3 linked regions of the Ovis aries genome follow. The protein of the gene in region 1 purifies or fractionates together with the protein of each later gene. This does not show direct contact. Links are inferred from orthologs where the notes say so. Each region holds a gene or a part of one and is shown in the gene's direction. Other genes may lie near its edges. The genes, in order: ZNF219, CDK2AP1 and CHD3.

Region 1 (3,744 bases):
CTGAGTGCCGAAGAACTGATGCTTTTGAACTGTGGTGTTGAAGACTCTTGAGAGTCCCTTGGACTGCAAGGAGATCCAACCAGTCCATCCTGAAGGAGATCAGCCCTGGGATTTCTTTGGAAGGACTGATGCTGAAGCTGAAACTTCAATACTTTGGCCACCTCATGCGACGAGTTGACTCACTGGAAAAGCCCCTGATGCTGGGAGGGATTGGGGGCAGGAGGAGAAGGGGACGACAGAGGATGAGATGGCTGGATGGCATCACCGACTCGATGGACATGAGTTTGGGTAAACTCCGGGAGTTGGTGATGGACAGGGAGGCCTGGCGTGCTGCGATTCATGGGGTCGAAGAGAGTCTGACACAACTGAGCAACTGAACTGAACTGAACTGACATGGTTGTATCTCATAATGGTGGTGGTCTATGGACTTGGGTACCTGAATAATTTACAAAGAGCAGAGCACCCTGCCAGAGAGTAAACCTTTGTGGGTTTAGGCCATTGAGATTTTGGCATTGTTACCACAGCACAACCTAGTCTAACCTGATACAAGGTTTATCTGCATGGTAACTGAACTTTTCCAAGAACTAAAATGCAATTCCTAGATATCTGATCATATCCTAAAACTTGTTGCTCCTATGTGGAAGACAGTTAAGAATGAATTGTTGACTTTTATTCCTAGCTTCTTCAGCTACCACCACCTTCTGATTTTGAGGAAAATTATTGTGAGTGCTTCACAGATGAGCTCTCCATTATTCTGTCATTTAGACTGGGGGAGTGAGGGAGATTTTGTTTCCTCATTCCACAGCCTAATCCCAGAACTGTCCCCACCCACTAATACTCACACAATCTTGTCATAGGGCAACTATTACCACTCCCAAGGTGTCACAAACAGCGGGCTCCACTGCAATGTCAGGGCAATGCAGCCAGGCTGCGCTCTTTCCTCACTGGTGCCTGGGCTTGGTTAAGTCTGGAGAAGCAGCCTTCTCAAGTGGGAACAAAAATGAGTGTGAGGCGCACACCCATCCCGGCACTATGTGAATTTGGGGTGAGTTTTCTTAGTATTGCAGCTCTGGTCAATTTCTAGTTTCTCTAGCGGCTAGCAAGCTGTCGGGTTGGTGCTACTGGGTGCCCTCGTTTTCCTGGGCTTTTCTCAAGCCCACCTGAACTTGCCATTTTTGCACAATTGCAAAGATCATAAACGGTGGGGGTTGCGCACAACCAGAGCTTCTGCAAGCGCGCCGCAGCTGCGATCAAAGGTCGGCAGGGCTGCCGAGAGGCTGAGCCTGCGCAGTATCGCTCCCGCCTTGGAAAGGGTGGTTGCAACGCGGGATCGTTACACCGGCTAGCTCACAAGAGGCGGGAAAACCTTAGCTTGGGTCGCCGTGTCCCTCCCTCTTCCTGCCCTGTCCACCCCGTCTGCCCAGCCAGTCCGTCCTCCTCAGGCGCCTAGGCCCCGGGGGAGGGGGATGAGCAGGGCCCTGGGCTTCTGACTCATCATCTCCAACCCCTTTCTCGCGCGCGCTCCAAGTCTCAGGACTTTGGACCTGGGCACTGTGGGAGGGGGCACGGAGACAGCATCTGGGAAACCCCAGCTCTGCCGAGGGGCAGCCCTCAACCCCAGCCGGTCTCCGAAGCTACCAGATGGAGGAATATAGAACCCCAGTCAGTTCTCAGTTACCGAGGTTGGAGTGGTGGCGCCCCCGTGTAAAACTGCCCTCCCGGCTCCTCCCTGCACGCGGGGCCAGTGGTCGCGTCCGAGGAAACGCTCGTCTAGGCCCAGATTTCCAGCGCCTCGCGTCACTCAGCAGATGCACAGCGCCCCCACCACAGAAGGAAAGGCTCTTTATTTCCCAGCAGGCCACGGGGCGGCGAGGCATCCTGGGATTTGTAGTTTCTGCTAGAGTAGAAAGGCACCAGATCGAAGTGAGAGAACGGAAGCACCAGTGGTGAATGGATCTCAGAGAGTGGGCGTGTACAGGAACCCGGGTTTGGAGTGAATGGGATTGTGAAAGGTGGAAATCTTGGAAACAGTGAGATGAGGCAGATGTGAAGCTGGGGAGGCAGTGGGTAAGAATGGAAGGGAGGAAATGGATCTAGCTGAAAGTTAGTTTAAGGATGTCTTATCTTGCAGGCAGTCAGATTCTCAGGGCTGTGAGGTGATGGCAGACTCACTCTAGGTGTTGCTTTCCCCAGCAGGGAAGGGTAAAGCAAGGGGCCTAGTCAGAGGGAAAATTGAAGGCACTCCACAAGACTTCATGTATGTGTCGGGGGACTCCATCTAGTTGGAGTTCAGGGGGATGCGGTGCAGGAGAGTCTGGAGAATGTTCCCATCGGATAGGAGGGCAGCACATGTCTGCTTCCACTTGCCAGCTCACTCATTTGTTCTCTTTGCTGTGCTAGCCACTGTGGGACCAGTCTCCAACTCAGGAACTTCCTCCAACTCTGAGAGGCCCTGAAAACCAGACAGTTGTGAGGTGAGCAAACATCAAGGGTGAGAAAGGAGGAATCCCAGAGAGATGCAGCTTCCTCCTCTCCCATTTTTTCCCTTATGTTCACATAGTCCTTCCAGTATTTAGTCACATTCCTAATGCTCTCCCACATTTCTAGCCCCAACCATTTAGATACTCAGTTTCCTGTTACTCATCACTAGGAGAAAGGGAAAGTGAAGTCGCTCAGTCGTGTTCGACTCTTTGTGGATCCCATGGACTGTAGCCTACCAGGCTCCTCAGTCCATGGAATTTTCCAGGCAAGAGTACTGGAGTGGGTTGCCATTTCCTTCTCCAGGAGATCTTCCCAACCCAAGGATCGAACCCAGGTCTCCCGCACTGCAGGCAAACGCTTTACCATCTGAGTCTCCTAGCCATCACTAGGAGAGACATGTCCAAAGCCAGAAAACTAATAAGTTTCAGTTTAACAACCCCTCCTGCCCCACCACATTATTCTCCCTTAAGTACCATTGACCAGAATAGCCAGTGAAAAAATAAGTTTCTAGCTCTCTGCTTCCTCCCAGCCCTCAATACCTCCTGTAGCTCCTGGTAGCGAAGACTCTGGCTTCTGCAGCATCTTGGCTTCCTCTGGCTCAGCAGGAACAGGGAGTATGCTGAGACCAGCACTCCCCCTAGGGTGAAGGCCTCAGCGCTGAGCTCCAGCACCAACAAGCCAGCTAGCTGTAGGTAGATGGGGCTGAGGGTGTGCTGCAGGGGACCCTGCACTTATCTGCCCTTGTCCTTTCCCCTCCTCTTGCCTCCACATCCTCCCACATTCTCCTTTATTCACTTGTACCTCGGAGGGGATGGTTCGGGCAGACATCAAGGCTGTCTTCATCACCTCAACCACCAATGCGATGAAGCCCGAGATCAGATTAAAGGTGTTGAATATCATCATGGCGCGCACCTGCCAGTGAGCCAGTTGAGTCCTGCCAGCCTAGGGGACTCATTGGAACCTCAAGCCCCACCTGTAGCCTAGCTGAAAACAAAACTCAGCTCCTATTCCTCCACCTCCAAACAAGACCATCAGCCCTTTAACTTTCTTATTTTACCCCCTCAGGGTTTTAGGCCAGTCATGGGCAGAGAGCTGACATAATTAGTCAACAGTTAGAAATTCACTTCCTAGACTGAGATGTGCATGTGTGTATGTGTTTCAGGGGGTGGGAGAATAGTACTACATTCTTTTCCCCCTCTCACCTTCCAGAGACGGGGTGCTCTGCGCAGCTCAAGAGTAACAATCCCAGTGAGGAGACCCTGA
Region 2 (3,644 bases), on another chromosome or scaffold:
TCCTGCTGACCCCCAGGTGTGGCGTCCATCTCAGCCATTCACCCTGGATCCCCAGCTCTCCTGGGATCACTTGCCTAGTCGTGGCTCCTTCCAGGAAATTCTCAATGATCACCTTTCTGTTGACTCTTTTTTCCTTATTTGAGATGATCAGAGGGCCTTCTGGAGACTGCTGGGCGGTGGCCTTGAGTTACAGAGACAATAGAGAGGGCCAGCTCCCTGGTCTGTAGTTGTTGCCCTGTGCCACTGGCATGCATTGGGGTCCTGACTGTGGCACTGGGGTCAGGTTGGGTGTAATCCTTCTGAACACTTTGCTTTCTGATTGCAGGGCACTGGGAACAGCCAGGTGCCCCAGAGCAAATATGCTGAGCTGCTGGCCATTATCGAAGAGCTGGGGAAGGAGATCAGACCCACCTATGCGGGCAGCAAGAGTGCGATGGAGAGACTAAAACGAGGTAAGTCATGGACCCTGGACTCCCCTGGTGGGTGATGCCTTTCTGCTGGCTGACCCCCGGCACTGGCTCTCGTCTTGAAAGATCTTTTGGGGAAAACGGAGGGTGGCAGACAGAAGCATCCCCTGTGGCACAGGGGCGCTCATTTTGTTTCAGAGTGACTGTTGAGGCAACATGAGCTAGACCCTCCTGGGGGATCTGAAGGGAAGAGGCTTGGCGGCCAATTGTCAGATGCGGCATCTGAGAAGGGAAGCCTTGGGACTTCCCTGGGCGGGGTGGGGTCCAGTGGTCAAAACTCCATGCTTTCACTGCAGAGGGGTGCAGGTTCGATTCCTGTCGGGGAACCAAGATCCCATAGGCTGCACAACCCCCCCAAAAAAGCCTTTGTGCCCAGATCCCGCAGCTCTGCCTCATGCCTGCTTCACTCCCACTGGCCGACTCTGGTCCTGGGAGCCCCAGGCAGCCCAGTACAGCGGGCCCCCCCTAGGGGGGAGACCTGGGGCCAAAGGGGCCTGCATTGCCCTGTGCTGTCCTCTCTGGAGCAGGGCCCCAAGGAGGGGTGTGGGGCAGAGGGTGAGAGCACTTTGAAGTTCTTTCGTGACTGAAGAGGGAGGGAGGGCGGAAGGCTGGTGTCACCGGGAGGAAGGGACTCACGTGAAGATGTGACTGGCCAGCTGACTTCAGAAGGCAGTGAAATAGGTTGGTTGCTGCTTCACGAAGTGAAAGGGGAGTGGAGAGGAGAGGAGAAAAGGATTTCTATTTTAGAAGGTAGCAGTTCAGAGCATGGTGGCTTATGTGCGAATTTAATTTTAGGAGGGTTTTTTCTTTTCTTTTTTTTTTTTTTAAGGTTAGAGAAGCAACTTTGGAGAAAAACGAGAGGGGAACATTCTGTGGCTGTAAATCTGGGGCGTGACGGCAGGGGGGCCACGGTGGTAATCAAGCCACGGCTCTAGTGATGGGCAAGGCTGGCTGAGGACAGGTGGTGACTACCTATGTGAAGAGACTGATTGCAAAGCCAGATCAGAGAATAACAGGCATTGGTGTAGGGAGGGGAGGCTGGCAGTAGGGGCTGGAAGAGGCCTTGGGGGAGAGAATGAGCTTGACCCCAGCCCAACCGCAGGGGTCATGGGGGCATCACTCAGCCCACAGTCCTGGTAAACTGAGTGCTGGTTACCTAACTGGGCATGCCTGAGGAAATGCTGAGCCCCAGAGTCTGTCTGAAGGGCTATCTGCAGCCACCCAGCAAAGCTGGCAGTTCAGATCAACACATGGATACACCTAGCAACTGGCGCAGGGCACATCCTGGGTGAGCACCTAGTCCCACAGTTGCCCTGACCAGTAGCTGAGAGAGCTTGCCAAGTTTACATCATAGCAAGGAAGGAGGGTCCTAGGGCATGGGGAATCAGGCACCAAGAATGCGATTTGTATTTTTATTACTCTATTTTTTGGCTGCACCACGCAGCACGCAGGGTCTTGGTTCCCCAAGCAGAGATGGAACCCACGTCCCCTGCAGTGGAAGTGTGGCGTCTTAACCACTGGACCACCAGGGAAGTTCCTATTTATGTTTTTTGTTTTGTTTTTTGGTGCCAAAACCTGAGACTGAACTATTTGTGGTTTTTAACGATGGAAAAAAACTCTGTGACATGTCAAAATTCTGCGAAATTCAAACTTCAGGGTTTAAGCAGAGACTTGTTGGAATGTGAAATGTCTTGGCTCTGTCATGGTATGATGGCAGAGTGCAGCAGCTGTGATGGTTGGCTGTACATACGCCCTTTGCTCAAAGTCTTCAGAAGCTCTGGGGATTAAGATTTGTGAGGTGGGGATACCTGAGTGATGTGGGGTGTCATTCCTAGGGCCCTCTCGGGGTCAGCTCTTAGGAGGAATAGATTCTTGGTGTCAATTAAAATGAAGTAAGTGTTTCATGAAGTTTAGTAAAGCCAAAACAAAAACAAAACCCAAACAAACGATAACTCCCAAACCATAGTGATAAAAGATGAGGGGAAAATCACATCGTAGATGGCACCAGTCCCTAGCAGAAAGGATGAAGCAGTGGACCAGGGTGGACTGAGTGAGCCTTCGTCTTGTGCCCAGATCTGGGCAGGCTATCTGACACTCCCAAGTCCTTTGTAGAATTTAGGAAAAATAATGGTTTGAAAGCTCCATAGTGGGCTTCCTAGGTGGCACTAGTGGTCAAAAATCTGTCTGCCAATGCAAGAGACAAAATGTGTGTTCGATCCCTGGGTTGGGACGATCCCCTGGAGGGAGGGTATGGCAACCCTCCAGTATTCTTGCCTGGAGAAACCCATGGACAGGAGCCTTAGAGGACTATACAGTCCATAGGGTTGCAAAGAATCGGACACAACTGAAGCGACTTGGCCTGCAATCTCTATCATGGGTCCTCACTTAAAGAACTTGGGTGGAGACACTTATTCCTGGCATCTGGATGGTAACATGGTTTGTGTAGCGAGTAATGTCAAGAAAAGAGCTTGCTGATTTGTCATCTTGAGTATGGGAAGAAATACTTTAAGGGAGATGTGACGAGGAGTGTTGGCTTTGAGGGATAGGATGGGGTTTGGGTCGTAGAACGCAGGTCCCACGTTCTCTCCAGTCTGAGGTTTCTGCAGCTGGTTGCGGAAGGACTGCTCTCCACTCCTGGAGTTGGTGCTGCCCTCTGACGCCCGTCTCTGCTTCTCTTCCAGGCATCATCCATGCCCGAGGATTGGTGCGGGAGTGCCTGGCTGAAACGGAGCGGAACGCCAGGTCCTAGCTGCCTTTTGAGCCTGGAAGGTTTTCCAGCTTCTTCCCAGAGGAGAAGTTACGGTTCACCTCCCTTGTTCAGATGAAACTCTTGTTTTCAAAATGGTTAACCAGTTCAGTTTCTCCTCCCCTGCCCCTCCCATGTTCACTTAGGCTCTGAATCTACAGTCTCTTTAAGATTGAGGAAAGATTTTGAAATTGATTAGGAGTTACATTTGAAATAGTTAGGAACTTCCCAGGTGTTTGTGGTTTTGTTTTCTTTTTTTAAAAGCGTTGATTCAAAAGATGCACGTAGAAGTTACCTCTCTTACAGCAAAGTAGTTTTGACTCTAAGATACCAGTGTCTGGTTTTCTTTTGAATACATTTATGTTAACCCAGATTGTTCTGTGTTCCTTTCCACAAGCTGATACAACTTGAAGTTTTTCAGTAGTACGGAC
Region 3 (3,644 bases), on another chromosome or scaffold:
CATAGAAAACTGGAGGAGAGGCTTAGAAAAGAGAAGTAATGGGAGGAGAAGCAAGTTGTAGGTAAGAGGTGAGGATAGCGTGCCGCGTCTGGAGGATTTATGTGTCTAGAGTGACGAGGTCTGGGGCTGGGCTGCAGAAGGAAAGCGGGTTCGTGGTGGTGGTGGGGCTGGGTAAAGGGGCAAGGTCTTCAGTGTGGGTCCTGCTGCCCTTCAGATTGAGGAAATTGAACGAGAGATCATCAAGCAGGAAGAGAACGTCGACCCCGACTACTGGGAGAAGCTGCTGCGGCACCACTATGAGCAACAGCAGGAAGACCTGGCGCGGAACCTCGGCAAGGGCAAGCGGGTCCGCAAGCAGGTCAACTACAATGACGCTGCTCAGGAGGACCAAGGTGAGGACTGTGCCCGACAGGGGAGAAGGGGAGCGTGCTGAGAAGGGGCTTGGAGGCTGGGGGCATTGAGAGGAAATGAGTGGCTGAGCAGTCAGGGCCTTCCCTTCTTAGGGGAAAGAGATTAAGACCCTAGGAGGGGTCACCAGGGGCTCCCTGGAGGCCAGGTGGATTTGAGGTGACTTGAACGCTCTTGCAGTCGCAGAGGGCATTGATGGACACCCAAGGGCCTTTGTTTAGAGTGGGTTATGCAGGTGTCAGGCAGTGGGGGTGAGTGGACCTGCTATGTAGCCCAGATTGTGGGCAGCCCTCCAGCATCTCTAGGAGGGCCAAAGCTGGAGTGAAGGTGCAAAAGTCTCTGAGGGGAGGTGTCCAAGCAGAAAGGGCCCCATGTGGGCTTATCCAGGGAGCCATCACTGACCACTGAGCCTTTCTCCTCACAGATAATCAGTCAGAATACTCAGTGGGATCAGAAGAGGAGGATGAAGACTTTGATGAGCGTCCTGAAGGTGGCATCTGTTTTCCTTTTTCCCACACCTCTTCCCATTTCACTTCCCATTGTCTTTGAAGCCTACTGTTTTTATAGAGTGCTCACTTGTAGGAAAAGTAAAGATTGCAGATAAGCAGAGAGGAGAAAATATCTATAATTTCGTTACTGCTAAAATTTGAAATATATTACCTTGTAGGCTTTGACACCTAGATGAGAGATCAAGAAAGGTTACATCATTTTACACTCCAGCAGTAATCTTGGCTTGCATCAAATAGTTGCTACTGATTGTTTAGAATGACTTGATTCTTTTGGACCTATGGGGTTGGTAGTTCTGGGAAGAAAATTAGAAGTGCCTCAGACATGACAGGCATTCCTTGTGTTGCATGTCCTATGGACATGGAGAGCTAGGAAAGACTGAGGGGTGGAGGACATGCTGGTCTACTAACGAGGGTCACCATCTCCCCACCAGGGCGTCGACAGTCAAAGAGGCAGCTTCGGAATGAAAAGGATAAGCCACTGCCTCCACTGCTGGCTCGAGTTGGGGGCAACATCGAGGTGAGAGCTGGCCTAGGCCCCAGCGGAGAGAATGAGGGGAGTTGAGGCTGAGTCACTGAGGGCAGAACAGACCAAGAAATGAGGCCCTGGACATTCATCATCCACTCCCTCCTTGCCCCCATCCTCAGGTACTGGGATTCAACACCCGTCAGCGGAAGGCCTTCCTCAATGCGGTGATGCGCTGGGGCATGCCCCCGCAGGACGCCTTCACCACCCAGTGGCTGGTGCGGGACCTCAGAGGCAAGACTGAGAAAGAGTTCAAGTGAGTGTGGGTGACCTGGGGCTGAGCTGGGGGGAAGGGCAGGAGCTTTGGGTGTTATTTTCTTCCTTTCGGCCGCCATATGATGTGACCTTACTCACCTGATCACCATGCTCCCTGCCAGATGTTGCCTGGCTCGGTTTCCTAGGGGGTGGGCTCAGCCTCTGCCACCTCCCCTCAGCTGAGCCTAGAGCAGAGAGGCCAGGCAATCCCTGCTGTGGGAGAGGCAAGTGAGACAGGAGCCTCTCCTGGACTGTCCTTGCCTCACATGCTTTGGCCACGATAACCCAGCAGGGGAGCTGGTGGGAAGGATGAAAAGCAGACTGATGGGGCCTAAGAGTGAAGGACCAGGGCCGGGGGCCATGGAAATGTGGGGGGGGGCAGGCGGGGGAGTTAGGATTTGGGGGAGCCCATGATGGTGAAATTGAAAGACCCAGAGACGAGCCCTGGAGGTACTGGGGAGCTCAGGTTCAGGGTTCAGTCATCCCTGTACCCCCTTCACTGTCCTTTCCCCTCCTAAGGTTCTCCTGACCCACCTCCCCCGCATGCTCCTTAGGGCCTATGTGTCTTTGTTCATGCGCCATCTCTGTGAGCCTGGGGCAGACGGCTCTGAAACCTTTGCTGACGGAGTCCCTCGGGAGGGGCTGAGTCGCCAGCAAGTGTTGACCCGCATTGGAGTCATGTCTCTCGTCAAGAAAAAGGTATTGGTCTTCCCCTCACCCAAAGAGTCAGGTCAGAGGGGCTGCCTAGGCCCCATGCGTCCTCAGCCTTCTATCCCTGGCTCCGGGAGCCAGACTGGAACTGATCCCTGTTCTGCAACCCCCTGCACCCTGTAGGTACAGGAGTTCGAGCACATCAATGGGCGCTGGTCTATGCCAGAGCTGATGCCTGACCCCAGTGCTGACTCCAAGCGCTCCTCCAGAGCCTCCTCTCCTACCAAAACATCTCCTACCACTCCTGAGGCCTCGGCTGCAAACAGCCCTTGCACCTCGAAACCTGGTAATCAGCTCAGGATGACAGGAGAGACCGACGGGGCCAGTTTCCATCAGATGCAGAGGGCGTGGAACTGGGGTGGGGAGTTCCTGCCTTCTTCACTCTGCCTTACCCCTGCAGCTACTCCAGCTCCCAGTGAGAAAGGAGATGGCATAAGGACACCTCTGGAGAAGGATGAAGCAGAAAACCAGGAGGAGAAGCCAGAAAAGAATAGCAGGATTGGGGAGAAGATGGAGACAGAGGTGTGTGGCTGCCTGGCTGCTTTGGAGGCAGTGGCAGTGCCTTGGAGGTGGGAGCCTAGAGCCCTCCAGGTCATCCTGACTCCACTGTCTTCTTCCAGGCTGATACCCCCAGCCCATCCCCATCCCTGGGAGAGCGGCTAGAGCCAAGGAAGATGCCTCTAGAGGATGAGGTGCCAGGGGTACCTGGAGAGATGGAGCCTGAACCTGGGTACCGGGGGGACAGAGAGAAGTCAGGTGGGTGCATGGCCTTAAGTGTGATTGGGGCTTAGAATTTGGGGGCTCCCTCTTCTGGGGTCAGGGGATGAGGGTGACATCCTTCCTTCCTGTCCCCTGCCCCCTCCCACAGCCACAGAGTCGACGCCAGGAGAGAGGGGGGAGGAGAAGCCGATGGATGGACAGGAACACAGGGAGAGGCCGGAGGGGGAGACAGGGGATTTGGGCAAGAGAGGTAATGGGTGGAAGAATGGGACCCCTGGGTCCTTGAGGGATCAGGGGAGGTGGAATCTGGGGAACCAAACGCCTGGGTGGGTAGCTCTTCAAGGGCCCGTACAGTACAGAGAGGAGTCCTGGGACCCGGGTGGAGACTGTCCCCCGAGATGTGAGCTCTGCCCCGTCTGCCACAGCAGAAGATGTGAAAGGGGAGCGGGAGCTTCGGTCTGGGCCTCCTCGAGATGAGCCACGGTCCAATGGGCGACGTGAGGAGAAGGCAGAGAAAC

What was found.
Region 2: the proteins of ZNF219 (region 1) and CDK2AP1 purify together in Homo sapiens (affinity purification with mass spectrometry; 3 studies listed by BioGRID and IntAct, counting the BioPlex papers as one, with this or other methods). This does not show direct contact. The link is inferred for Ovis aries from reciprocal best matches to the Homo sapiens genes ZNF219 and CDK2AP1.
Region 3: the proteins of ZNF219 (region 1) and CHD3 purify together in Homo sapiens (affinity purification with mass spectrometry; 3 studies listed by BioGRID and IntAct, counting the BioPlex papers as one, with this or other methods). This does not show direct contact. The link is inferred for Ovis aries from reciprocal best matches to the Homo sapiens genes ZNF219 and CHD3.

Annotation. Positions count from the first base shown.
Region 1 is NC_056060.1:24,325,879-24,329,622, forward strand, and holds the start of ZNF219 (zinc finger protein 219), read left to right. Parts: upstream 1-963; 5' UTR 964-1,045; intron 1,046-1,825; exon of another isoform or gene 1,826-2,371; coding exon of another isoform or gene 2,372-2,452; exon of another isoform or gene 2,453-2,474; intron 2,475-3,020; coding exon of another isoform or gene 3,021-3,167; intron 3,168-3,282; coding exon of another isoform or gene 3,283-3,393; intron 3,394-3,683; coding exon of another isoform or gene 3,684-3,740; intron 3,741-3,744. Other genes in the region: TMEM253 (transmembrane protein 253), read right to left, coding at 2,372-2,452, 3,021-3,167, 3,283-3,393, 3,684-3,740. UniProt on the Homo sapiens protein: Transcriptional regulator. Recognizes and binds 2 copies of the core DNA sequence motif 5'-GGGGG-3'. Binds to the HMGN1 promoter and may repress HMGN1 expression. Regulates SNCA expression in primary cortical neurons.
Region 2 is NC_056070.1:52,354,443-52,358,086, forward strand, and holds part of CDK2AP1 (cyclin-dependent kinase 2-associated protein 1), read left to right. Parts: intron 1-325; coding exon 326-452; intron 453-3,148; coding exon 3,149-3,216; 3' UTR 3,217-3,644. UniProt on the Homo sapiens protein: Inhibitor of cyclin-dependent kinase CDK2. Also acts as a component of the histone deacetylase NuRD complex which participates in the remodeling of chromatin.
Region 3 is NC_056064.1:27,402,687-27,406,330, forward strand, and holds part of CHD3 (chromodomain-helicase-DNA-binding protein 3), read left to right. Parts: intron 1-214; coding exon 215-392; intron 393-832; coding exon 833-898; intron 899-1,348; coding exon 1,349-1,434; intron 1,435-1,562; coding exon 1,563-1,696; intron 1,697-1,825; exon of another isoform or gene 1,826-1,965; intron 1,966-2,249; coding exon 2,250-2,394; intron 2,395-2,529; coding exon 2,530-2,692; intron 2,693-2,806; coding exon 2,807-2,928; intron 2,929-3,026; coding exon 3,027-3,162; intron 3,163-3,274; coding exon 3,275-3,376; intron 3,377-3,551; coding exon 3,552-3,644.